Rhinolophus ferrumequinum: one gene and its partners. The protein of the gene in region 1 purifies or fractionates together with the protein of each later gene. This does not show direct contact. Links are inferred from orthologs where the notes say so. Each region holds a gene or a part of one and is shown on either strand. Other genes may lie near its edges.

Evidence for each region.
Region 2: the proteins of TOM1 (region 1) and ZFYVE16 purify together in Homo sapiens (affinity purification with western blotting; 3 studies listed by BioGRID and IntAct, with this or other methods). This does not show direct contact. The link is inferred for Rhinolophus ferrumequinum from reciprocal best matches to the Homo sapiens genes TOM1 and ZFYVE16.
Region 3: the proteins of TOM1 (region 1) and CLTC purify together in Homo sapiens (affinity purification with western blotting, with the first as the bait; 3 studies listed by BioGRID). This does not show direct contact. The link is inferred for Rhinolophus ferrumequinum from reciprocal best matches to the Homo sapiens genes TOM1 and CLTC.

What each region holds. Positions count from the first base shown.
Region 1 is NC_046293.1:11,036,159-11,044,058, forward strand, and holds the start of TOM1 (target of Myb1 membrane trafficking protein), read right to left. Parts: upstream 3,084-7,900; 5' UTR 2,863-3,083; coding exon 2,811-2,862; intron 1-2,810.
Region 2 is NC_046290.1:51,760,210-51,768,094, forward strand, and holds the start of ZFYVE16 (zinc finger FYVE domain-containing protein 16), read left to right. Parts: upstream 1-4,850; 5' UTR 4,851-5,060; intron 5,061-7,885.
Region 3 is NC_046304.1:26,489,111-26,496,830, forward strand, and holds the start of CLTC (clathrin heavy chain 1), read right to left. Parts: upstream 3,014-7,720; 5' UTR 2,801-3,013; coding exon 2,759-2,800; intron 1-2,758. UniProt on the Homo sapiens protein: Clathrin is the major protein of the polyhedral coat of coated pits and vesicles. Two different adapter protein complexes link the clathrin lattice either to the plasma membrane or to the trans-Golgi network.

The DNA of each region.
Region 1 (7,900 bases):
AGTTAACTTGTCCTGAATCCCCTTGCTTCTCATGGCGTGATGGCCCTAGGCTAAGTAGAAGACACTAACGGTTTTTATTTTCTAAATCCAAAAGGGCGGAAATCCGGGACTTGACTCTTATTTCTTTGACTCAGTGAGGGAACAAAACCTATTCACAAAACCTATTTACCAGTTCTAGCTGTAGGGCCAGTCAAAGGCTCTAATTCCCCAGTGAGAACCGGTTCCACCCCACAGCCTGAAACCTGACCTGTCTGTGAATATGGCTGCCAGCCGGCCAGTCACTGCTCGTTCCCAATGATGCCGCGACCAACACAGAGGCTGCACTGCAATCAGGGCCCTGGTTGGCACCTTGGCTCTGCCACTAACTTAGAGTGTGCCCCAGCAATGATGATCACACCAGTGAAAAATCACAATGGCTAACGATTATGGACACTTACTGTCTGGCAGGTACCAGGGCACATGTTTCATAACACAACACAACAACCTCCCAACACAGCGTCAGAATCCACTGAGTTCAGGGACATCAAGTCTACAGGGCTCTACCCTCACTAAGGGATGGAGTTGGCAGGCTTGAGATTATTGTACTCGGGTAGTTTATAGAAATACGAGCCGCTAATATTAGGTCATCAATAATCACAGCCAATCGGTGGTACTTCCGCCTCTTTATCTAAAAGAAAAATATGGAATACCGAGGGCAGATATTCTTCATTTAATTCTACTTTTAGAGCTTCTTCTGCTCTAAAGTTCAGTGGCTCTGGGGAGTTCATCTCATCTTTCCTATCATTTCACCGGGGTCCTGGGTGAGTCACAGTCTCTAGCTTCCCCTCTCTGGGCCTCATTTTCCTTCGTAAAATGAAGACGATGGACTGAAACAGGTTTTCAATATGCAGTTTCCAATCCAGTGGCATTAGAATCCCCTGGGAACTTGTTAACAATACCAATTCTAGGCCTCCACCCCACACCTGTAGAGTCAGAAGCTCTGGGGGTGGGGCCCAGCCTGCGGTGCTTTAATAAGATCTCCAGGGGATTCAGAGGAGAACTTTAGGTTAGAAGAGCCCCGGGGTAAGGACCCTTCCAGCAGTGAAACTTGGTTTGTGCTCTAATGTATTATGATTTAGTAGCATTCTCTTTGGACAGAGTATTTCTTACCCAAGGCAGGCAACCCTTTCAGGGTAAAAAGAGAAGCTGTTTTCTTTGACCATCTGAGGCCCAGAGTTCAGGTGAGCTTTTCAAGAAAGCCTCAGGTATTTATAGGCTGACTTAGAAGGGCAGAGTTTTGTTTTAAGTAGTTAAGTCTCAAACTTGGCATGTGATGAAAGCAGTGGTATCTGTAGCTGAAGAAAGAAAGATGAAAGGAGAGCTACCTTCTTTTCAGCTCTAAAACAATGACCCGGGTGTGTGTGTGTGTGTGTGTGTGTGTGTGTGTGGTGTGGGGGAGCCGCAGGGGGTGGGTGTTGGTGGTCCTGAGAGGACAGCTTCCCCTCTTGGGTCCAGGAGCTTCCTGGTGATTTGTAAATCCTCTACGGCCACACCCCTGTTGGAGAGATTTGATTACAAAACCTCAGAAGAGCCACAAACAGCCACGGTGACAATTACAACACAGAGCTGGGCTGACAGACTTAAGTTAGGCTTGGCTTCCAAGACATTTAAGAATGGAAAGAATGTCTTATTTAAAAGATCCAATTTTCCCAACCTGGGTTTCAGGCTTTAAACTATCAAAAAAGATGAAGAGAGGATTTCACAGTACTGCCTGCGGTTTCCTCATGAAAGACGGAGACAAAGCCAGACTCCCTGGAGAAGTGTGAGCTGTTTGGGAGGGCCCGTGGGTCCTCCCGTGGTGCAGGCAGGACTGAGTACCTATGAGAGCTACGACCTCGCCGTTTGCAGGGACTCCCGAGCCTCCCTTGGTGGCATCTCAGTAACACTGACAATAAATATTACCACTGTCTTTTATAGAACATTGGCAGGCACTGTTCTAAGTACTTTACATTTATTAATGAGTTTAATCTTCACAACAACCCCACGGAGGTAGGGACCTTTATTATCCGCTAATTACAGGGAAGGAAACATCGGCACAGAGAGGCAGCGTCACTGAACTAGTACGTGTCCCGTCAACAGGGGGTAAGAGAGTCAGGAGACCTGGGCTCTGAGTAAGCCTGTGTCTCTGGCCAGAGTGCTGGGCTGTCCGAGCTACTGAGAAATAAAGGAGGCCCCATCAGGTGGTTTCTAAGATCACTGCAGCTCGGAGCGCCGGCAACTCTATGCGGGAGAGCTGACGCTGGTGGCTGAGGACTGCCAGAGAAGAGCTGCCCAGACGCCCAGCTCTGATCCTGGGAGAATGAACTTCTAGCCCTTCTCAGGTATCCGTATCCGGAAAGCCTGGCAACTCAGGAAGGAGACGGCAAGAGCCCAGGCTGCGCGACCCCAGCTGGGAACGCGCAGAGGTAAAAAATGGAACACCCCAAGGACTGCGAAAGCTGGCAGTCCCTTTAACCGTCTAAACTTTCTCCCTGTATTCGCGACCCCAGCAGCCGCGCATTGGCTGAGCCGCGGGCGGACCCGCCCTCTCTCTTTGTCTATTGGCTGTGACAGGTATCCATCACAATCCGAGGCTCCCTAATGGACCAAGGCTTTTGTCAATCAAGATGGGCGGGAGACTGGGCGGGGCCAAGTCTCGGAGAGACGCGCCAGGCGCGTTCCCCTTCCCTGCCTCCCTCCGGTGTGTGACTGGGGACGTGGGTGAGCCCCGCGGGGACCGAGGCCGGGCGCGAAGCCCTGCGTCGGGGTTGGCCGAGACTCCAGGGACTCACCGATGCGCTGTCCCACCGGAGAGCTGAATGGGTTCCCCAGGAGAAAGTCCATCGTTGCGGCTGCCGCTGCCACCAACCCGTGGAATCAGCTGACAGCAACCGCCAGCGCCTTCGACCCGTCACGTGACGCGCCGGATGGTCCGCGAGGTGGCGCCGGTGGGGGCAGGGCGGAGGGAGTCTGGAGCGTGGCCACAGGCCCCGCCCCTGAGAAGGAGGGTCGGGATCACTGAGAAGGAGGGCGGTGACCTCACTGCGGCTTACTCGGTGTCGGCGGACGTCACGCACAGCGTAGCGCGGTAAAGAGCTTGGACCTTTAAGCCACGCCCTCGACGTTTTCTAAGGTTTAGGGGCGTGGCCTAGTGATCTCTTAACACACCGGGAAAACCGGGTCCCAGACCAGAGAAATGACTTGGGGAAGGTTGCAGAGCAAGCCCAGACTACAGTTCTCACTCTTACGTGTTTTAGCTCTTGGGACCTCACCTTCCGCTGGGGTTGACGCCTCTTTGGCCGGTTGTCTCCTTGCCTTGGTAGAACTCTTCCTATCTGAGGTCGAGGTCCAGGGGTTTGAGATCCTTTGACAGAGAGACAACTCAATGAATTCCAACTTGGGACGGGCTAGAGCCCAGGGTGGTAGAAAGCACACAGATGTAGCCACGAGCAGGGCACGTCTCTGCCATTTACTGTGTGATTCAAGCAGTGAGTTTCCATTTTTCTCTGGATGCTGGAATTAGATCGAGGACTCTGATTTTTTTAGGTCACAGGCTCCTTTGAGAATTTGAAGCCATGAGCCTTTCTGAAGAGAAAAGGCAGAGACACAATTTAACTTCAGGGAGTTTCTGGGGTCGCCGAAGTACAGCTGTGGACCTCAAGAATTAAGATTCCAAAGGCCTTCCCCAGCTTTGTGATTCTAGTATCTCCTTAAACCTTCCTGTCCTGCCATGTTTCAGATGTTGCCTGCACATTAGATCTGACCTATTGGTTGTTTTTTTTCTTCTGACACGCACACCAGAAGATACAATAACCACTGCTTTGGTAGTTAGTGGCTTTAGTATTTACTGACCACGATGTTTGTGATTCTTAAATTTGAAAGCCTATTAAATTGTGCACAAATTTAGGATGGAAAACCTAAATTAGAACTTAATCACTTCTGTGTGTTAACGTGTTTAACAGATGTCAACCTGTTTGAGGGCTGACATCTTTAATGCACAATATAAAAACTTTATGGGAGTCACGTACTCCTGTGCTTTGAAGTGTTTTAATAATGCCCATCCTTTTAATAAATGCCCTCCCCCCCACTAGTCTAGATGCTCCATGAGGGCTGGGATACTATGTCTCCTTTCCTCACCACTATTGTCTAGCACAATGACTAACAAGAAAATTTAAATCATCTACCTTTCAATAATGGTATTTGGACTATGGGAGGGGGGCACGTACCTTTAAGATGAACGTCATGTCAGGTAACATACATATTTTTCTTCCTTTAAGAATATTGCTTGGTTGTATGGCGTATATTTAGCATGAACTTCCTTTGGCTTCTTCCATTATTTTGGGTGGTGATTTACCAGAAGTTCCTGCTTTCCTGCATCACTCTGGTTTAAAGTGATTATGGGCAAAAGATCTTGGCTTTACTGCCAAGAATAAAACCACTGTAAGTTTTATCCTTCATAGTAAAAAAGCAGAAACAACCCACATACCCCCCAAGCGGAGTAAAATCATCTTAACTCCATGCAAACAGAATACTGTGTATCTATTCAGTTAGAAATGGAAGTGTGTGGATTTTGTCAACACAAACGATAGGAATATAAATGGAAAATATTTAGTACAAAACTGATTAAAAGTATGTTTAAAAATTTTTTGCAAGGAACAGTCATTTAGTAAAAAATCCATTTTAATTTTACCTTTTAAGTGTTTTATGAATATCAAATGCCTTCCTTTTACCTTCAAAGGGAAAAATGCTTACGTCCCTTAAGACTGACATATTGCTTAAATGCAATGTCATCTATCATATCCAGTAAGTGCTACTAGACAAAAATCAAGATACTTTGCCAATAAAGTTTAAAGACAATAGTATGACAAGAAAGTGAGGCCTCTATCGTAAAATCCACCTAGGACAAAAGGGCATTTGAACAAAGAAACAGTCTCAGATAGTTTTCCTACAATCACTCAGTACTGTAGATAACGGAGGATTCTGATGGATTACATAAGTGGCTTTGGGTAGAAGAGAGCCTAGGCTTTGGGGTCAGTTTGAACAGTGTGCTTATTCTGGCGCTACCGTCTACTACTAGCTGTATAACCTTAGGGAAAGTACTTTTCTGCATCTTTATTTGTAAAGGGGGATAATACTCAAAAGGCTTTTGGGAGGATTAAGTGAGAGAAAATATGCAAGTCATTCTCTATAATAGTATTCAGCAATATGGTGATGTCTTTCTTGCTGCCTCTCTGTACGTTAGCCTTTCAATCATAATATTTCACTTTATGACTAGTAACACCTTGTTTGCATTGAAATTTTTACCTTGAAAAAGGTCAAATTTCCATATATTAAATGTTCACAATAGTTCTAAACATTCATGTCAGGTTGGCTGGCTGCTGGCTTGGAGACAAGGAAGTGACATGAACACTCTTTTACAGATGTGACTTAGGACACCTATAAAGATTACGTGACTTATCCAATACCACCAAGTTAGGACAGTGCTGAAACTGTGTGAAATATATCACATTAAGTACATGATTCAGATGTGAACCTTACAGATGAATATTTTCTTGAGCTAGGCGAACACTGTAATGTACATACTATTTTATTTGCCAGTGAACAGAACTACACTTTATCAGAGTCACTGGGCTTGCAATCTGCGAAAGAGAGAACATGAGAGATTCCACAACGTCAGAGTTAATATTAATAGAAACAGAGGAAGGTGTATGTTAGGAAAATGGCTAAGATCAGAAACTTGACCTCTATTCTAGATGGGTTTTTTCTTTTTAAGATAATTATGGTAGGATATAGTGTGGAAAACAGGTTTTACAATTTTGGAGCAACTTTGGTTGGCAGCAGGGAAAAGATAGCTGAGACTGGACTACAAATATTAAAAATGTGATTTTTAATAATATAAGTACAAAATTTTATTTCTTTATACAACTGTAATGGAGTTTGGATCAAACCGCTAGAATTTATTTAAAAAACAAAATAAAACAATGATATAAAAACTGCAAGGTCTGAATCCAAAGTTTTTCCTCTAATAGTACCAAATACCACAAGATACAGATTATTATACAAATGTGTACAAATTTTAAATACAAATACAATAGGATTGGATTTTAAAGGAAAACAAACAAAAAACAGGTCCTCATCAGGATTTCATTAATGTGTTCAAATGACAATGGTAGGACTGGCCTTCTTTCCGTATTAATCCATGTCTCCAAGGCCCCTCCTTCACACCCTGTGTCAAACAGGAAACTTCCAGGGGTACAGATGAGGCGTGGTACAAGTTCTAACACACGAAATCAAAACAAGATTTCTGTTTTTCTTGATTTTGGTTCCCAGACATTCTTGTTTCCTTCTGTTTCCCCCATTAAAACTCAGAACTGCTCTGAGCTGAGAAAGGCATTTAGCAGCAAGAATACCTTTAGGAAACAGCCCGGTGACCCCACCGGTCGGGAGAAGGGAAGGAGTTAAGTAAGATGCAGCGTAGCTGCCCTGTCCGCAATGATCCACCTCGATGCTGTGGAGCTCCATCCAGGCCCCAGGAAGGAAGCACAGTTACCTCAGAGCTGGGTGTTGGCAGGGAATCTCACACCACATTTAAAAACAACCCTGAAGCGCTCAACTGTCTTCTTTGGGACTAGGAAGCAAAAGTCTGGTTCTTTGGAAATACGGGCAGCTGGGAAGGGAAACATTCCATTTTATTTTACTTTCTTGACATTATTGAATTATAAGGAATTAGAATCCTTACATAATGATACCTTGTTGAGGCATGATACCTTAAAATGCAGATGGGAGTTTTCAGAGGAGGCCAGAGGAAGGAAGGGGGGAAGAAATTAACAAGTCTGTATCTTCCACATGCTGTTGCTGGTGGAGGCTTTTGTTATTAAATTATATGTACAGAAATTTACAGGATAAATTAAAATCTAAGATTTTAAAGAGTTAAATACACATAATTAAAACACACATTCACACACGCGCATAAATAAACCTACGTGAGAATCGAGTACTATTTTTTGCAATTCACTCATGTGTGGTATGTAGAACACGGTGTATCTGCCCCCCAGGGGAGCCAATGAGATGGACCCAAGAATCCCGCCGGGCGAAGTTCATCATCCACAGCCACCAAGCAACTAGCAGCGGGACCTGTGAAGACTTGGCGGCTAAGCGAATGCTGCCAATGGAAGATACCAGCTCTTCGTTCTGCAGACCAAAGATTCTGGGTCAACTCACAATATATGCAGTTCAACTGGTGGCACTGACAGCTTTGCCGTCTCCAAGGTGTTTTATGTTGCCAGGGCTCACAAAACTCCTCGGCCCCTGCTGAGGCTGCCAATGGTACCAATGATTACAATAATTTTTGAGACATGGACACCTGTATAGCAGGAATTGGCATGAACCCTGTACTAAGTTCACCTAAGCCATCACAATAATTCTAAGATGGGAACGGTTTTATCACCTCCCACCTGGGTCACTTCAAGTTGAAAGGTTTGCACTTCAGTCAACTGGCATCTTCCCATAATCTTTCCTATTACATTTCAGACTATAAGACAGGTAAGGCAAATGGTCAGTGATGGGTCTGGAGGTACAACCGAGTTTGGAAAAAAAATCACATTTTAGCTGTCTATAAAGAGATGCACTTGGCACCCAGAACAAGCCCCCAGTCCCCAAGTTACATTGATTTTTAAGGCAGATTTATCCACCACAGGAGAAAAAAGAATTCCAAGCCCACATTCATGCCAAGGTTTCCTCTTGGCTAAACCTTTGCCATTTCATAAAATTATTAAAAGCAAAGTAGTTACAGTCCTATGTATATATTGTACATTATATATATATGTATATATATATGTATGTATATAAAAATTTAAAACCTACACCCAGACGCCAGTGAAGG
Region 2 (7,885 bases), on another chromosome or scaffold:
AATGCATGGCAATACCTTTATTTAGTGGCAGGATCTTCAGGAATGAATGAAAGTCATTATGAGACCTAAATATTATTATTTTTTTAGTATATTTTATAAAAATGAAGGATCCATTTGTATCCTGCCCTTATCATGGATGATAGTTCTCAAATTTTATAGCAGTATACATAACTCTATGGGTAACGATTTTAAAGCAGATTTTTGTTTGTAGTCCTGTTTAATGCAGCTAAGCTTTAAATACAGAGGGTGCCAAAAACATGTATACATATTTTAAGAAAGGAAAATTGTATTAAAACTGTAATACTCAATATATACCAATAACAAAAGATGACTACAAGTCACGTTTGATTTCTGCAATTACAAGAGGTACTCAAAGTGGTTACCATCAGTGTCCAGACACTTCTGATTATAGCGAACTATTGTGCAACGTTGACCAAAGTGTCCATTTGTATACATTTTCTTGGCACTCCCAGTATTATTTTTCTTCTAAAAAATTTCTTTTTTAGTGTTAATTAATTCCATTATGAATGCCTTTCTTCTAGACACTTTTCAATTTAATATGATCCATGGTTTCTGGGCTTATCACATATTTCTAGTAACTTGCGACTTAAAGGACATTCAAAGGCTGGTAGCATATGACTTGCTTCCAATCCATTGTAGAATGTTCCTCAAAGAATATGATATTTTTGCTCAACCTCACTAATCATTAGAGAAATGCAAATAAAAACCACAATGAGATATCACCTCACCCCAGTCAAAATGGCTATCATCAATGAATCAACAAACAACAAGTGCTGGTGAGGTATTGGAGAAAAGGGTGCACGGCTGGGATTGCAGACTGGTGCAGCCACTATGGAAATCACTATGGAGGATTCTCAAAAAACTGGGAATGGAAGTACCTTGAGACTCAGCAATTCCACTCCTAGGTATCTATCCAGAGAAATCCAAAACACTAATTCGAAAAAATTTATGCACCCCTGTGTTTATTGCAGTGCTATTCACAATAGCTAAGACATGGAAACAACCAAAATGCCCATCGGTTGATGACTGGATTAAGAAACTGTGGTACATTTATACAATGGAGCATTACTCGGCCATAAAGAAGATTGAAATCTTACCATTTGCAACAACATGGATGGACCCAGAGAACATTATGCTAAGTGAAGTAAGTCAAATGGAGAAAGACAAATACCATATGATCTCACTTATATGCAGAATCTAAAGAATAGAATAAATGAACAAACTAATCAGAAACAGTCTCAGAGATATAGAGGAAAAACTGAGGGTTGCTAGATGGGAGCGGGAGTGAGGATGAAGGAGAAGGTGAGGGGATTAGAAAGTACAATTGGTAACCACAAGATTGCCATGGGGATACGAAAGTCAGTTTGGGGAATATAATCAATAATGCTGTAAAGATTTTATAGGGTATCGGATGGACATCTGTTTTATTAGAGAGACCACTTTAGGGACGGTGTAGATGCCTGATAACCGTGATATACACCTGAAGCTGAAGCTGAATAATAATGAATGTCAACTATAATTTAATATATATATATAGTCATAAGAAGCAGAGTACTGCATAAGGAATAGAGGCAGTGGAAATGTAACGTCTGTGTGCAATGTCAGAGGGGTAGTAGATTGGGGGAGGGGGTTAACACTTTGTGAGGGGTATAAATCATAAATGTCTAACTATTATACTGTTTTGTACACCTGAAACTAGTAAAAAAAGGAATATGATATTTTTATATTTATGGGTGGATAATTATCGTGTGCTGAATCTTTGTCAGATGGCTGTGTATTTAATGTTTTATTTCAAATCGTTAAGTTTTGGTGCTCAAATCAATCTTAACATTCCTCTCTGTAAATAAGCAAAAAATAGCTACAATTCATATTTAAAGCTATGTACTTCCTCTTTTACTGTTCTGACACTGCACTCCATTTCTATTCTTAGGAAAAATAAAACAGGCAGGTCTTAGTGTGCTAAAACCACATCATAAAGCTGTTTTGCTTCATGGTCCAGGAATTCTGGTTCGTTTCCCTTCTCCCTCTGTTTGTCTAGCTCTTAAAAACAATCCCTCCTTTTGATTGCTTAATACCTCACCATAACCACAAATAAGTAAAGAATAATTTTAAACTTTTAATTTTCCGTGTTACTGGGGAAATCATTCACCAAGCCCACAGACTTTTAAAAAGATATTGTAGGAGTGAGGGATGAGTATATCATGTTGTATTTTCTTGGTTCAATTTTGCAAGATTTATTACTAAACAATTTAAAAATTTTAGTCTGATATTATAGACATTGACAAACATCTTTATTGAGGCTTCAAGAGATGTTTATCTCTAATGTGATAGAATAATGTGTGTTAGCAAGTATTATTTTCTTTTTTGCTCCATATCATTTCTGTCTGGTCATTAAATTTTTTTCCTCAATTAGTCATGCATATTGGATTAGCTTATCAATGGTTATTTTCCATGAGGTTATATTTTCTCTCTGTAGTAAATAAATATCTTGCAGTGAGAAATAGAATTTGAACAGAATAGATTTTAAAAGAGGAATCTTGAACCCCATTTATGAAAGCTTTGAGAGCTATTATTCCATATTTTTAATTTGTAGATAATATACACACACACACACACACACACACAAACACACGCACACATATATTTAGCTATACCTATAGACATTTGCCCTAGATGATTTAACTGTAAGCTTTATTAACTTCTTATTTTTCTCCATCCTATCAACTCATATTTTCCTATTGTATTCATTTTCATACTTTTTTTCCTCAATGAAAAATTTCTACATATAGAATGGACTTCCTCTTGTTTGCTACCCTAAACATGTTTCAATAGTTTTTTTAAGAGAAAACACTTTCCATACACTTTAGCCATGGGATTGTTTGCCTTTTCCCAAACAAAATCTTTTGATGAGTTGTTTTATAGTGTGAATTTAATTTATAATGTCAAATTATAGCATTTATTTTTAGCAAGTCAATCAGCAAGAACAAGGAGGCTGTTTTAATTAGCCCAAATATGAAATCAGGGTTTATAGATGGCCTTAACATATAATTTATGCCTGGATTTGTTTGGTCTATAAAGTGTGGAAAACATTCTGATTCACCCACATCCTGGCAGGTGTTTAATAGCTCGACATTCTGGACACTCTGAAATTAAACAAATGTCAGGGGAAGATTTATTCTGAAATGTATATAAAAAGTAATTATCTGGTAGCACAGGTATCAATTTGTTGATGACCTCCAGATATTTCTATATAATACATTTGAAAGTTCAGATTTTTAAAAAATTATGGTAAAATGCATATAACATAAAACTTACCATCTTAAGCATTTTAAGTGTACAGTTTTAGAAATGTTAAGTGTATTCACAGTGTTGCGCACACAATCTCCAGAACTCTTTTCATCTTGTAAAACGGAAACTCTATATTCATTAAATCACAAGTCTCTATTTCCCTCTCCCACCAGCCTGTGTCAACCACCCTTTTATTTTCAGGATCTATGAATGTGACTACTCTAGTACCTCATATAAGTGGAATCGTACAGTATTTGTCTTGTTGTGACTAGCTTATTTCACTTAGCATAACGTCCTCAAGATTCATCCGTATTGTAGCATTTGTTAGAATTCCCCCCCCCCCTTTTTAGGCTAAATAATATTCCATTGTATGTATATACTATCTTTTGTTTATTCATTCATCCTTCAACAACACGAGTTGCTTCCACCTTTTGGTTATAGTGAATAATGCTGCTATAAACGTGGATATACAAATATCTCTACCCCTGCTTTCAATTCTTTTGGGTGTGTACCTGGAGGTAGAATTACAGAATCACATGGTAATTCTATTTTTAAATTTTTGAGAAACTGCCATACTGTTTTATATAGTGGTTATACCATTTCAGATTTTTTGAAAAAATCATAGTCATAGTTTTAAGGGGAAATTCTAGTCAAATATTTGTGAGCCCCTAAAGAGCCTCTTTAGAAACTTCAGATTCTACAGAACTCGGTCTGAGAACCAGAGACTTAGAATACTCAGATCATCAGGCAAAGAATCCACATTTGTTGCTGGGGTCTCTTAGGTTTCACAGGCAAGGTCTGTTTCATGCTGATGGTGGTGTGTTTGTTAGTATAAAATCAATGCCTTATATTTACATAGCACCTTGAATTGAAAAGCACCATGTAAATAAATGAAGGTAGTTAAGAACCACTGTTTTGGTGGTCCAGGACCAATTTTGATTGGTGAATGTAATACTTTCCACAATTATGCACTGCATAATTACTTAGGCATTTCTATTTTAAATTGTACATTTAAATGATGAACTAGTAGTGATTGCTGCTCTCCTGTTTTTATTTTTACATATTTTTTTAAACTACTGATGCTAAATAACTTGAGAAGATTTGGGATTCATGCTAATTTTTATTTGAAAGAATGTTTCTCACAACATAGCTAAATTTTTTTAAAATACAGCTTTTTATGCATGCTTTTCAAGCTTGGACTAGTACATATCAATAATCATTCCACTGAATTAAAATATCAATAAAGAGAATAGGCACATATAATATTATAGGCCTAAACTCCAAGTACCTTTACTTTGCATTGGGATAAGCAATGATATAAAATTTATTTCTGATCATCTATGCTACTATAGGGATCAGGAGCACAGGTATTTTTAGAACAGGAGATGACCCAAGAATTTTTTTTTTGTATTAAAAAATGTGTAAGATTGTTGATTGTGACGTGTTTTTTTCAATTGGGGGGTGAAATCATAGGGTGCTTGTTTTTTACTCAACTATATATTATAATTCACTTGTCATTTCTTAACATATAGCAGCCAATACTGGAAGGAATTAGCAACAGTGAATGTCAGGCAGCAATGAGAAACCAGAATGGGATGTTAATTTGTCACAGAAAAATCCACAAAGTACAAATCTACATCTGGACATACCCAAATGTTACTTGTGAAATTAGGCCAAATTCCTACTGAGGATTTATAACCTACTGAAGATGAATGCCAGGTCTCAAGGACTTAGCAGCAAAAAGGAGAAAGGTAGGATCATGTTATACTTTCTATTCCAAATGAAATCTATTCTTTCCTCATTTATTGTTAACTCTCACTTGAAATCCTAGCCTCAGCACTTCTTTGGTTCATACTTAGTTTCCATTTTAGTTTCTTTGGACATGGTGCTTGGAAAATAATGTACAAACTTGTGTGTGCACGCCCTCATGTTTGTGAGCAAACAAGGCAGTGGGATGCTGTTTGGATTTAAATTTTGTGGTGCCAGGGGCCTGACTCCATTATAGCCCATGTTCCTTTGCTAAAAGTGGCGGCTTCTCTTAGGAAGCAGCTTCCTCTACTCAAAACAGAGGTTCAGTAATTAGGCAAAACAGCTGCTTTGGTTTTGTTTCTCCGTATTTTGTGGAATAAATGGAAGTACCTGTTCTGGATTAACTTCATTGTGGTGCTCAAGGGATATTGAAACACATGATTGCTTTTACATGATAGAATTAACGACTTAATTAGATTTTGTTTCCATGGTTCAAGTTTATAAATAACAGTCGGAATGATATGTGAAGAACGTACCTAATCAAGACACAGTCAGTTCCCTATGCTTGTACATAGTATTTCCTACATTCCTATATCTTTCATGTGGTCCTAAAAGCACTATGTAGGTATAAAATAAAAGCTTTTTGTGTTTATGAACATCACAAGGATTAGCAAATACTGACTAATGTGAAGGTCGGCATGGAGTGTGTTAGCAAATGGAGTGGGGTAGTGGAAAGCGCTCTTAACAGACAGATATAAATGTGAAGCCAAGTCTCACCACTTAGGAGCTACATAATCTTGTCATGTTACTTCACTTCTCTGTGTTTCAGTTTTCTCCTCTGACAAATAGGGAGTAGTAACTATGTCACGCATAGCGGCCTGCTGGGTCTCAGCTCCCGCTCCCAACACAAGAACGCAGGACACAGTGAGGCCAAAAAGGAACACCAACGGAGCCATAGATAGAGGAGTCACACCACTATAGTCTTGCTGGAGGCTGGGTTGGAGACACAGGAAGCAGGAGCCACATGATCCACAACCTGCCATCCACTTGTCTCTCTGCCAACCCACCTCACTTACCAGCTGCAATCCGCTGTGCTAACTGCACTCCACCGCTTGGTAGCTCAGCCCCCATCTTCTTGCTAGCCCCCATCTGCTGCTAGCGTAGCCACGGCAGTTATATTAGTGGCCAATGGCTCACTGGTTACAGTGTTACAGTTGACAGCCAACTAGCCACAGCTGATGGCCATCCAATCACAGTTGATGGCCATTTACTACCTGAGCCAGCACCTTTCCACGTGAGGCCGAGAGCCTGGAAACTGCATTCCTGGCTCTGTCCCCACAAACTATCTTGCAGGTTATTGTGAAGATTTGAGAAAATATTGGTGAAGTGTCTCGCTCAGTATGCAACACTCCATAGGTATTGGCCAAAACAGAAGCTGCTATGTCTGCTCTTGAAAAATAAGCTCTTACGTGATTCTAAAAATATTTCACTTTTTATAGAAGGTAGACAATTTTATTTTAAACTTTCAGAGTAGATATGAAAGCAAACAAATATTAGCAATGCATTGCGGGGTAAAGTCTGGTTATAAGCATAAACCTAGAGCAAGTATTAACAGCATAAGGTGGGAATTTGAAACGTGGCACTACTGTTATGGTCCAGGCAGGAAAACAGAACTGGTGTATTTTAATAGAGAAAATTTAACGTGGGGAGACTCATCTTAAACATGAGAGGAGACCTGAGAAGGCAATCAGAGGTCAGTGAAGCAACATAGAGCTTAGCAACAGAGGAAACAGATATTGCTCCCACAGCCAGAGGGACAAAGGGGTGGAACCAGAGCTTAGGAGGCCTGGAGAGAGATGGAACCATGATAGAGATGGACCCCTGCCTGAGATGTCACACAACCCACAGAGAGAAAGGAGGAGAAATATACTGGTTTTCCCACTTCTCACCCTTCAGTCTCTGGTCATTGTTTCCTCAGTGGTCCATCCTAATTAGAAACCAGTAAATGCTGTTTCAGGCTCTTGTTAAAGAGCCTGGGACGGGATTTTAGAGGGATCAGAGCCCTGTAGTACAGAGCAGAACAGGGGAAGGGCGAGGAATGGGTCCGAGGACAAATGGGGAAACAGCCAGCAGAGTGACATTCAGTTATTTTCTGAGAAATTATTTGTATGGCCTGAGACAGAATTGTTGGCAGAGAGTTTATTGCATTTGCTTTTTTCTTTTTCTCACGGTCAGTGCCCTCCCTCCCTGTATTTGGTGAAGGGCAGTTCTAAGGTAGTGAGATCCAAAACTGTGATTAGACCGGAAGGAGGCTCACAGGTACCACAATTCAGAGAACTGTGGTCAGGTCCAGAACAGAAAACTATGGCAGGAAAAAAACAAAGGCAAGTAATGGTTTATTAGTCCAAACAGATAAAATAGATTCTTTACTGGCAATGGATCAAAAATCAATATTAGTGAAACAATCTGCAGTAGACTAGAGATCATGGTGGTTTGCACAAGATGGTGAGAAGTGGATATATTTTAAGGGTGGAGCCAAGAGGATTTACTGATTGTAAGTGTGGGGTGGGGGGAAAGAAGGGTGAAGGGTGATTCACAAATTTATCCTGAGGAACCAAAAGAATAAATTTGCCATTTATCGAGATGAGCAAACTGAAAAAGAAGGTTTGGGAGGATAACAAGAGTTTGGTTTATGATATGCTTAATTTTAGAACATTTTGTTTTCAAAAACTCTTTTTAAAACTGCCATTTTTGTTTGTTTGTTTGTTTATTACATAATGCAGGAGGGTCAGTGCTGAAACCAGGGAAATTATTAAGTGAAAGCTTA
Region 3 (7,720 bases), on another chromosome or scaffold:
ATTCAACTCACAACATATTCCATGCCTGAGTCTACGGATCAAAGGGAAGAAAACAGAGTGGAGATTTTTAATTACAGACCTGAGAAACCTGGTAAACAGTGGAATGTGTTCATTGACATAAAGATACTTAATGTGCAAAGAATTAAGAATTGCAGGCAACATTTTATATGTAGCCTAAGGTTTTGTTTTTTTTAGAATCTGCAACTCTAGCAATGTCTCAAATAGGCACTCATCTGTTGACTGCTATCAGCCTAAACATCCTAAAAGAGAAAAAAAAAATCTTTCATAACTTAAAATATTATTATTTATTTGCTGCAATTTCAAGCCTTGATGATAGATCCTTCAGTTGGCCAAAGTAGTTACATAGTATAGAAATAAATTCATTTACAGTCTACCTTTCACAAGCTAACTCTACACTCAAGTTCCTCAATTCTTGTTCCCAATTTTTATCCTACGTGCTTCAGAAAGTTTTCTGCTACTTAGCAAACTGGCAGGACTCAGAGGTCAAAGACCTAAAATGCTAATTAAAACAACTCTTATTTATTTTTAAAAAAGGAAGGGATAAAAATGAGAAGTCAGGAGTATATTTTCCTGGAAGAGGTTGGTGATTGGGGATCCTTGCACAACTAATCACTACCAGTTGGAGTACAAAGTCACAGTAGCAAGCTTAAGTTTAGGCATGGCATATTAGTCCAAAAAAGGGATGACTAAATTATTCAAGTATATTTACAAAGCTGCTTTATGCTCAAATCTTCAAATTATTTGAGAAGAAAATGGCTTCACTCAAGTATTTGCAGAAATTTCAAATACTTTAGATATCAGACCGTCTTCACATTAAACCTGTCTTCAATCAGTTAAAAGGTTGGATTCCAATCGTTGGGATTATTTAACAATTCTTGTTTCTTCTTAATTAGGTGTGACAAGCTATTGCTCAAACCACCACTAGTTAAGAAATAAGACTTACTAGTGGGCTGTATTTCTGCCTTGTAATCAGCAACTATACCTGCTTCTCTTGTGTATGATTTTACAAACCTCTGTCTGCAGAAAGATTATACATCATATGCACTTCAGTGTGAGAAGCCTGTGTTTTCCCCCACACCCAAGGACATTTTTCCCCTAAACCTACACATTCATTTACACCCCACTTGAACAGAAGTAAGCACAGCAATTAAAATTTAGATTGAGCATAAACAATAACTTCTCCGTGTCCATTAGGTCACTTAACATTTTTTTAACCTTTTGTAAAATAGTGTTCCATTACTTCAGATAAGTTATCTGAAAACCATAGATGATTGAAGAAAAGGCATTACTTAACTCATTTTCTGAGTAAAGATTATTCATTACATTTCAAGACTTAAAAGGAAAAGAATTTCTTGCTGATGCAAGCAAAGGTGATAATACCTGTAAAGAAATATGAAATTATGTTACTGATACATTAAACCTTTTTATTAACAAGAATCCTTAATGTATGTTATACCAATGGGAAAAAAGTAAATAAAATTAGCCTTCTAGTGGTAAAGTGTCCGATAGCCAATAGGTCACTAGTATTAGTGTCATGTCAAACCAGTCTCTTTTATCATTGTGAAATTAGCTCTTCAGAAGATTGAGCTGAGGCAAGCCTCTTTAAGGGGTATTTCGGAAGAAAGCACATTAATATTAATAAATTATTTCAGCCAAAGTGAAACCAGGATTGGTGAACCAGGGAAATCAGCTCAGAAAAGGCTTAATTCAGTCAAACCTTCCAATGATCACCTGCCTGGGCCCTCCCTGGGCATGTTGCCAGATAAGACAGTATGTTGTCTACAGGATAACGCACCATGGGGAAGAATTCTAGAACCTACGAAAAGGAAGCCAATTACAGGCCCAAAACCTTGCATATCTCAGAGCAGGTGTGCTTTATCCTCAGGGCTTGATTTGATTCCAGCAAACCTGAGGGAGGTACTCACGCCCACAACTACCTGCTACACTCCAGCAGACCCCAAGATAACCTCTCCATAACCCTTCCTACCTTCCAGAACCAAAGAGGGGATTGAGGGCCATTCCATGCCCAGGACTCAAGAGAGAGGGGAAAAAAGGCGAGTTCCCCTAGGGACCTTGACCCCACGCACTCAGATTGACACCGCCCTGAGAAATACGTTCCTCCATTCTATCCTCCAGTTCCTTCAGTGACCTTCTGTTCCTACTGCCTCGGGGATGGCAAGAGGCAAACCACCGCCGTTCCCCCCACCCCCAGGGGAAGGTGCCTTTCCCAGATGAGAGCCGCAAAAGGAAGGAAGAAAAAGATTGCTCCTCCCCAACCCACCCGCCCTACAACTCCTGGGTGCAGACACGTTGGGGGAAAAAGAGCAATGGGAGGTGACAGCCCTGCACTGACCTAGGCGATGAAACCCTTGCTCCGGAAGAAACACGGAGAATTCCCCCCGCTCCAACCTATCCAAATGAATGAACTGAATAAAACGGGGAGAGGGGTGGAGTTAGTATGCGCAGTTCTTGCCATCCAGGAAGCGAAGACAGAAAGGCCCTCGAACCCACGACAGGCCTCGCGGCACTTTGCACCCCGACTCTCGTCCTTTCCATCCAAACCCCACATCACTTAACCCTTTAAGCTTTCCAAAATAGCGCCCCCATCCTCCATCTACCCCGGACACCGACAACCCCCACCCCCACCTCCGATTCAGCTTTTTGCTTGGCCTAGACTCCAGCTTTCTCCTCCTTACCACCCTCTCCACAGCCCTGACCAGCCAGGGCCCAGTCGCACCTGAAGATGCTCCTGAAAACGAATTGGCAGAATCTGGGCCATGGCGCTGTCGGGGGTATGGTCTCCTCCTGTCACTGGGGCTGCGGGGCAGTGGCTGCCCGGACTCTCCAAGGGAGAGGAGGAGAAAAGGGAGGGGGTAGGCTGGGCTCAGCAGGATACTCTCCGGGGACGCAGGAAACTGGCAGGCAGACGAAAGAGCTCGGGTCGGGGGCGGAGGCTCCAGGGTCCGGGAGAGCCGCAATGGCGGAACCGGGCGCAGCGCAGACTCCGGAAACGGCTGAGCCCTGCGGAGGGATCCCGGCGACAGAACTCCGCCCAAGTCACCTCACCCCCTCCGTCTTATGTACCCCTCCACGGAGCGCCGCGGTGCTGCGGGCGCAGGAATTCTGGACGCAATGCGCTGTGGGACTCGCTTACTGCTGACACATGAGGGGAATTGGAGGAAGCGAAGGGACTACTTTTTTGGACTCATCACTTTCCCCAGCCTCCGGCTTTTCCCTCCCTCCTTTCTTTTTTTTCTTTTTTTTTTTTTTTTGCATTTTGCCACATCATGCGACTAGGGGCGACCGACGTCATTTCCGTGGGCGCTTTAGGTCCCACCCACGTACTTCCGGGTGCACGTGATGCTGGTCAGGATGGGTTGGCTGATTGCTGCCAGAATGCAGAACGAGTTCTAGAGAAATGTGGAGTCTCCTGGGAATGCGGTGGCTGTTGGACCGCCTTGAGGAATGGTGGTGCTGCTCCCGTTCCCTGTGGGTCCTGCCTATTTAAACTGAATCCCTTACGAAGAGAACGTGGAGTGGGCAGATGGGCCCAGCCTCCCGCCCTCTCCGTGACTCAGGGAAACGACCTCCCTGCAGAGCGCTTTTTTGGCAGCTGGCTGCAGTTCTCCCCCGCCTAGTTTCATATAGTGGGTGTTTTCTTACATCTCAGGGACGGGGGAGTGAAATGGGGTTTAAAATCCTCCCTGCCCTATGCACACCCTTCTGACGGTTGGAGAGACACGCTTGGATTCTTAACTAAGAGCTAGCAGTCTCTTCGGATGTTACTTTAAAAAGTGGCTCGAAGGACAGTGAAGGCCATTTCTGAGGTATCTCAAACTGGCCTTGTGATAGCTTTTAACGTTTCTGCGGACATTTTGGCGGACATGCATATCGGCCTAGCTTAGTAATACATTTTTTGGTGTTAAAGGGTTTGAGTATCATAAATACGCGGAAGAACTGGACCAAAATTGTAGCAGGAATCTTTTGGCCACATCAAATCACGAGACTCGGAAGATTTAGATAATTAGGTTAAGGGTGGTTTGTAAAACCTTAAGGTTCTTCCTCGGTGTGGCTAATGAACACTCTTGGAGAAAGGGATTAACTAACTATTGGCAGGGCCACCTCCACATTGCTTATAAATTAGCACTGTTTGGAAATGTAAGCGCTTCAAAGCAGGAGTGTCATGTCTTTCTAACAGCATTAATGTATCTATGGTATTAATTAACGATTAATAACCTTCCCAGTACTTTATTGCTAAATTGTAAGCTGTAATATTTCATACTAGCACAAATACAATGACAAAAAAAAATTTAGTTCCGTGCCTTTCATCTTGATAAGAGATGTGATTATTTTTCCAGAAAGATCTTGAGGAAATACTCAAGTATACAGTGATTTTTAGTGCCCTTCCCAGTTAAAAACGTAGAACACTATTAAGTATGCAATGATTTTGTGTGTTAAGCAGTTTTGCCTAGAGAAGTTTGCTTCATCATTTAAATTGCTTTGTTTTTTCCAAAATATATGTCACATACTGAGGATGAGGGAAGAATCTTTGGCAGGTAAGAAACAGCAGAGAACGTTCTGCAAAGAAAAGCCTTGCCACCATGTCATAAGAGTAAATATTTATGCTTGGCAAAATTTCATTTTGTTAAGCCAAATACTTGAAGATGTTCTGTATTCTGCAACATTGTAAATGACCTTCCTAATACCAGTATAATAGCTACTTTCAATCCTTTCTGGAAATAGACAAATTCTAAATTAAAAATCTATAGGACTTATTGTTTTATTCCAGTAAAAGCTATAGCTTAAGAAACGTTTCCAATTATAATCTGGGATACAAATTATATCATGAACAAGCCACTGAAATTTATTAATAACTTGTGTTTTCGTACAGACCTGTGTAATTTTAACTACATTTAGAATCCCCAAAGGAATTGATTTTAGCTTGGATATTTGGTGGGCAATATCTAACCAAAAGTGCACTGAGGTTGTGTTAAAGTGACTGCTGTGTCATCACACACAGAAATCTAGTGAATGCATAGTTCTCAGAAATCATTTAGGGAGAATAAAAATAGATTACAATATACCCGCTCATTTTGAACACTGTATACTTCAAATCAAAAAATCCAAAATTTTTCAAGAGAAAAAAATGGTCCAGATGGTAAAAAATTGAAAAACCAAAATTGCATTTTAAAAATCAGTAATTTTGGCTGAGGTAATAAGAGCTTTGTATGGTAGTATGCTGTTGTCGCTAAAGATGCAGAGGCAGGGAAAAAAAGATTGTCAATCCTTGGTTTAGAAGCCCCAAAGGCTGAGTCACTATGAACAGTTACCTGAGCAGTAACTGAAGGGCTTTGTTTTCAGGTACCATATTAAGTTAGAGAAGAAAATAAATAGCCTAATAAACCAGAAAACAAATGCTGGGGGTTTTTCCCCCCTAAGTATGACAAAGTCTTTTAATAAGAGTACTACTATAAATGTATCATCATCCTTTGGTTTCAGAAAATGGTTTAGGTAAGGTAGCCATGTTTAAAAAATGGTCCAAGTTCTTTCAATTTGAAGCTATTTTTTTAGCAGAATATCCTTGCTCTGAGTCACAGCAAGCACCATTAGCAAAAACTGCATTGTTCATCTATTTTAAGGCGTGCCAATTTCTCAAAACCTTTTTTATGTTTTATGCCGATAACTATAATACAGGTTAACCTCACATGAGAATGACACCTCAGAAAAACTTATCATTGTCGAAAGTTCCTCTGTATTATTCATCTTCAAGCAGTCCCTGAATTAAGGTCCCTGCTGTTTAACTTGACCTTTTAAAAACAGTGTGAGCTAGTTGCATTGCAAAAACCACAACGTAAAGGCATTCCTCAAACATTAAGAGATTAATTTTAAAGCAGAACTTTAAACCTAATCCACCAGTACCAAATATTTAAAATTCAGATTTTAGCAAAACCAAACAGGATATACTTTAGCATTACCCAAGTAAGATAAGTGGTTTTGCCATTTAAACCGCAGCTTTGAAACATCTCAGCCCTCTAGGGCCACTGATACGAATCCCAGCAGGATTAAATCAAGGGCAGTACATCAAACGCACAGTAAGTGGCTCAGGTATCAGTCAACATACAGTGCTCGCTTTATTTTAGCCCTGTATAAGGCACTGATTATAGGCAACGCTCACCCAAAAGGACACAAAAAGAAAAAAAATTTTGTGGCCTTTTTTAGAATGAAATGTTCTCGAACTTAACTCGGATACTCAGTATCATTCACTCAGGCTTGCCCTAAACCTAATTTACATAGACAAGTTTATAATGCTTCAAAGATGGCAATAAGATCTATAGTGAATCTTTATTCCATGTCAGGATAGCCAAGACTAGTCCTGTGGGAATACGGTCTGGAATCTATTCATATTACACAGGCCCCTCGCATGTTTTCTAAAGGTTAAATCAGAGGCCAGCAGAGGAATAAAGCTTATAATAACACTACCTTACAAAGTCATCTCAGGAAGGTTGGTTCAAATATAGTGATAGAGCATTGTGGACAGAAAACCCAGAAGTTATAACCCTGCTGATCAATAGGGGATCAAATGCCACATCACAACATCTCTTTTACAACCAAAAACAAGTCACAAGAAGCTTGAGAGGATCTATAGAATGAAGGGCAATGAGGCTCAAGGCGTGGGAATGATTGTTAAGGGCTATTTTTTTCCTCCTTTCTAAACATGTGGAACTGTCTTTTCACTTTCTAGAGTTATTACTGTCTCCAATTCAAAATAAGGCATGACCCACAAACGTGTTCTCTCAGTAATCTTAAAATTCTGTCACACTCCAGGGGTAGGTACTCCCATCAGTGGCAATGTACACATATGTGGCCTTGTTATGGTAGTAAACTCTACTTCAGAACAGAATGGCTAAGGACTGAGATTTGGTAAAGTTTTCACTAACTGAATAATAGCAAAGTTTCAAGGAAGTGTAAAATTGAATTTACATGGTCAACAAATACTTTTCAGTACAAAAAAATGAAAAATAATGTTAAAATCTTTTGAAAAGGCTTTTCAAAAAAAAAACGTTTTATGTAGGGAAAGCAATTATGAAACTTAAAAAGGCCTCAGGTTCATCACTGTGATGTTTTTGTACAATACTCCTGCAAATGTTGCCTGGTCCGAGTATGTACCAAATTTAGAACACACTAGAAATGACTTTTTAAAAATTGCCTTAGTAACATGTCATGACTGATAAAAGAGGATCATGTAAAATAAACCCAAAACCGGGTTATTTTCTTTTCCTGGTTGCTCATATTCCAAATAATTGTGAGTTTAATGTATACAATCATACAACTACTATTCATTACACTCCAGTAATGAAAAATATGTAGTATTCATATGAACCTACCTCATGGTTATTGATTTAAATTTTATTTTTCTTCTTTGAACCAACCCTGTTAGCACTAAAAGGCATGAAAAATGAAAAGGTCTCTTCAGGTTAGATGTACCAATATACAGCTTTCTACAGGGTGAAAATAAAAATCTGATAAAGACAACCCTTTATCATCTCTATATTTTCAGATTATCTAGCTAACCATTAGATCAGTTATAGCTAACTATTAGATCAGTTGATTACATGCCCCCTGCCTGAGGAGGCCTTAAAAATTCCATTTCTGGGGTGGCGGGTTGGCTCAGTTGGTTAGAGCGCAGTGCTCCTAACAC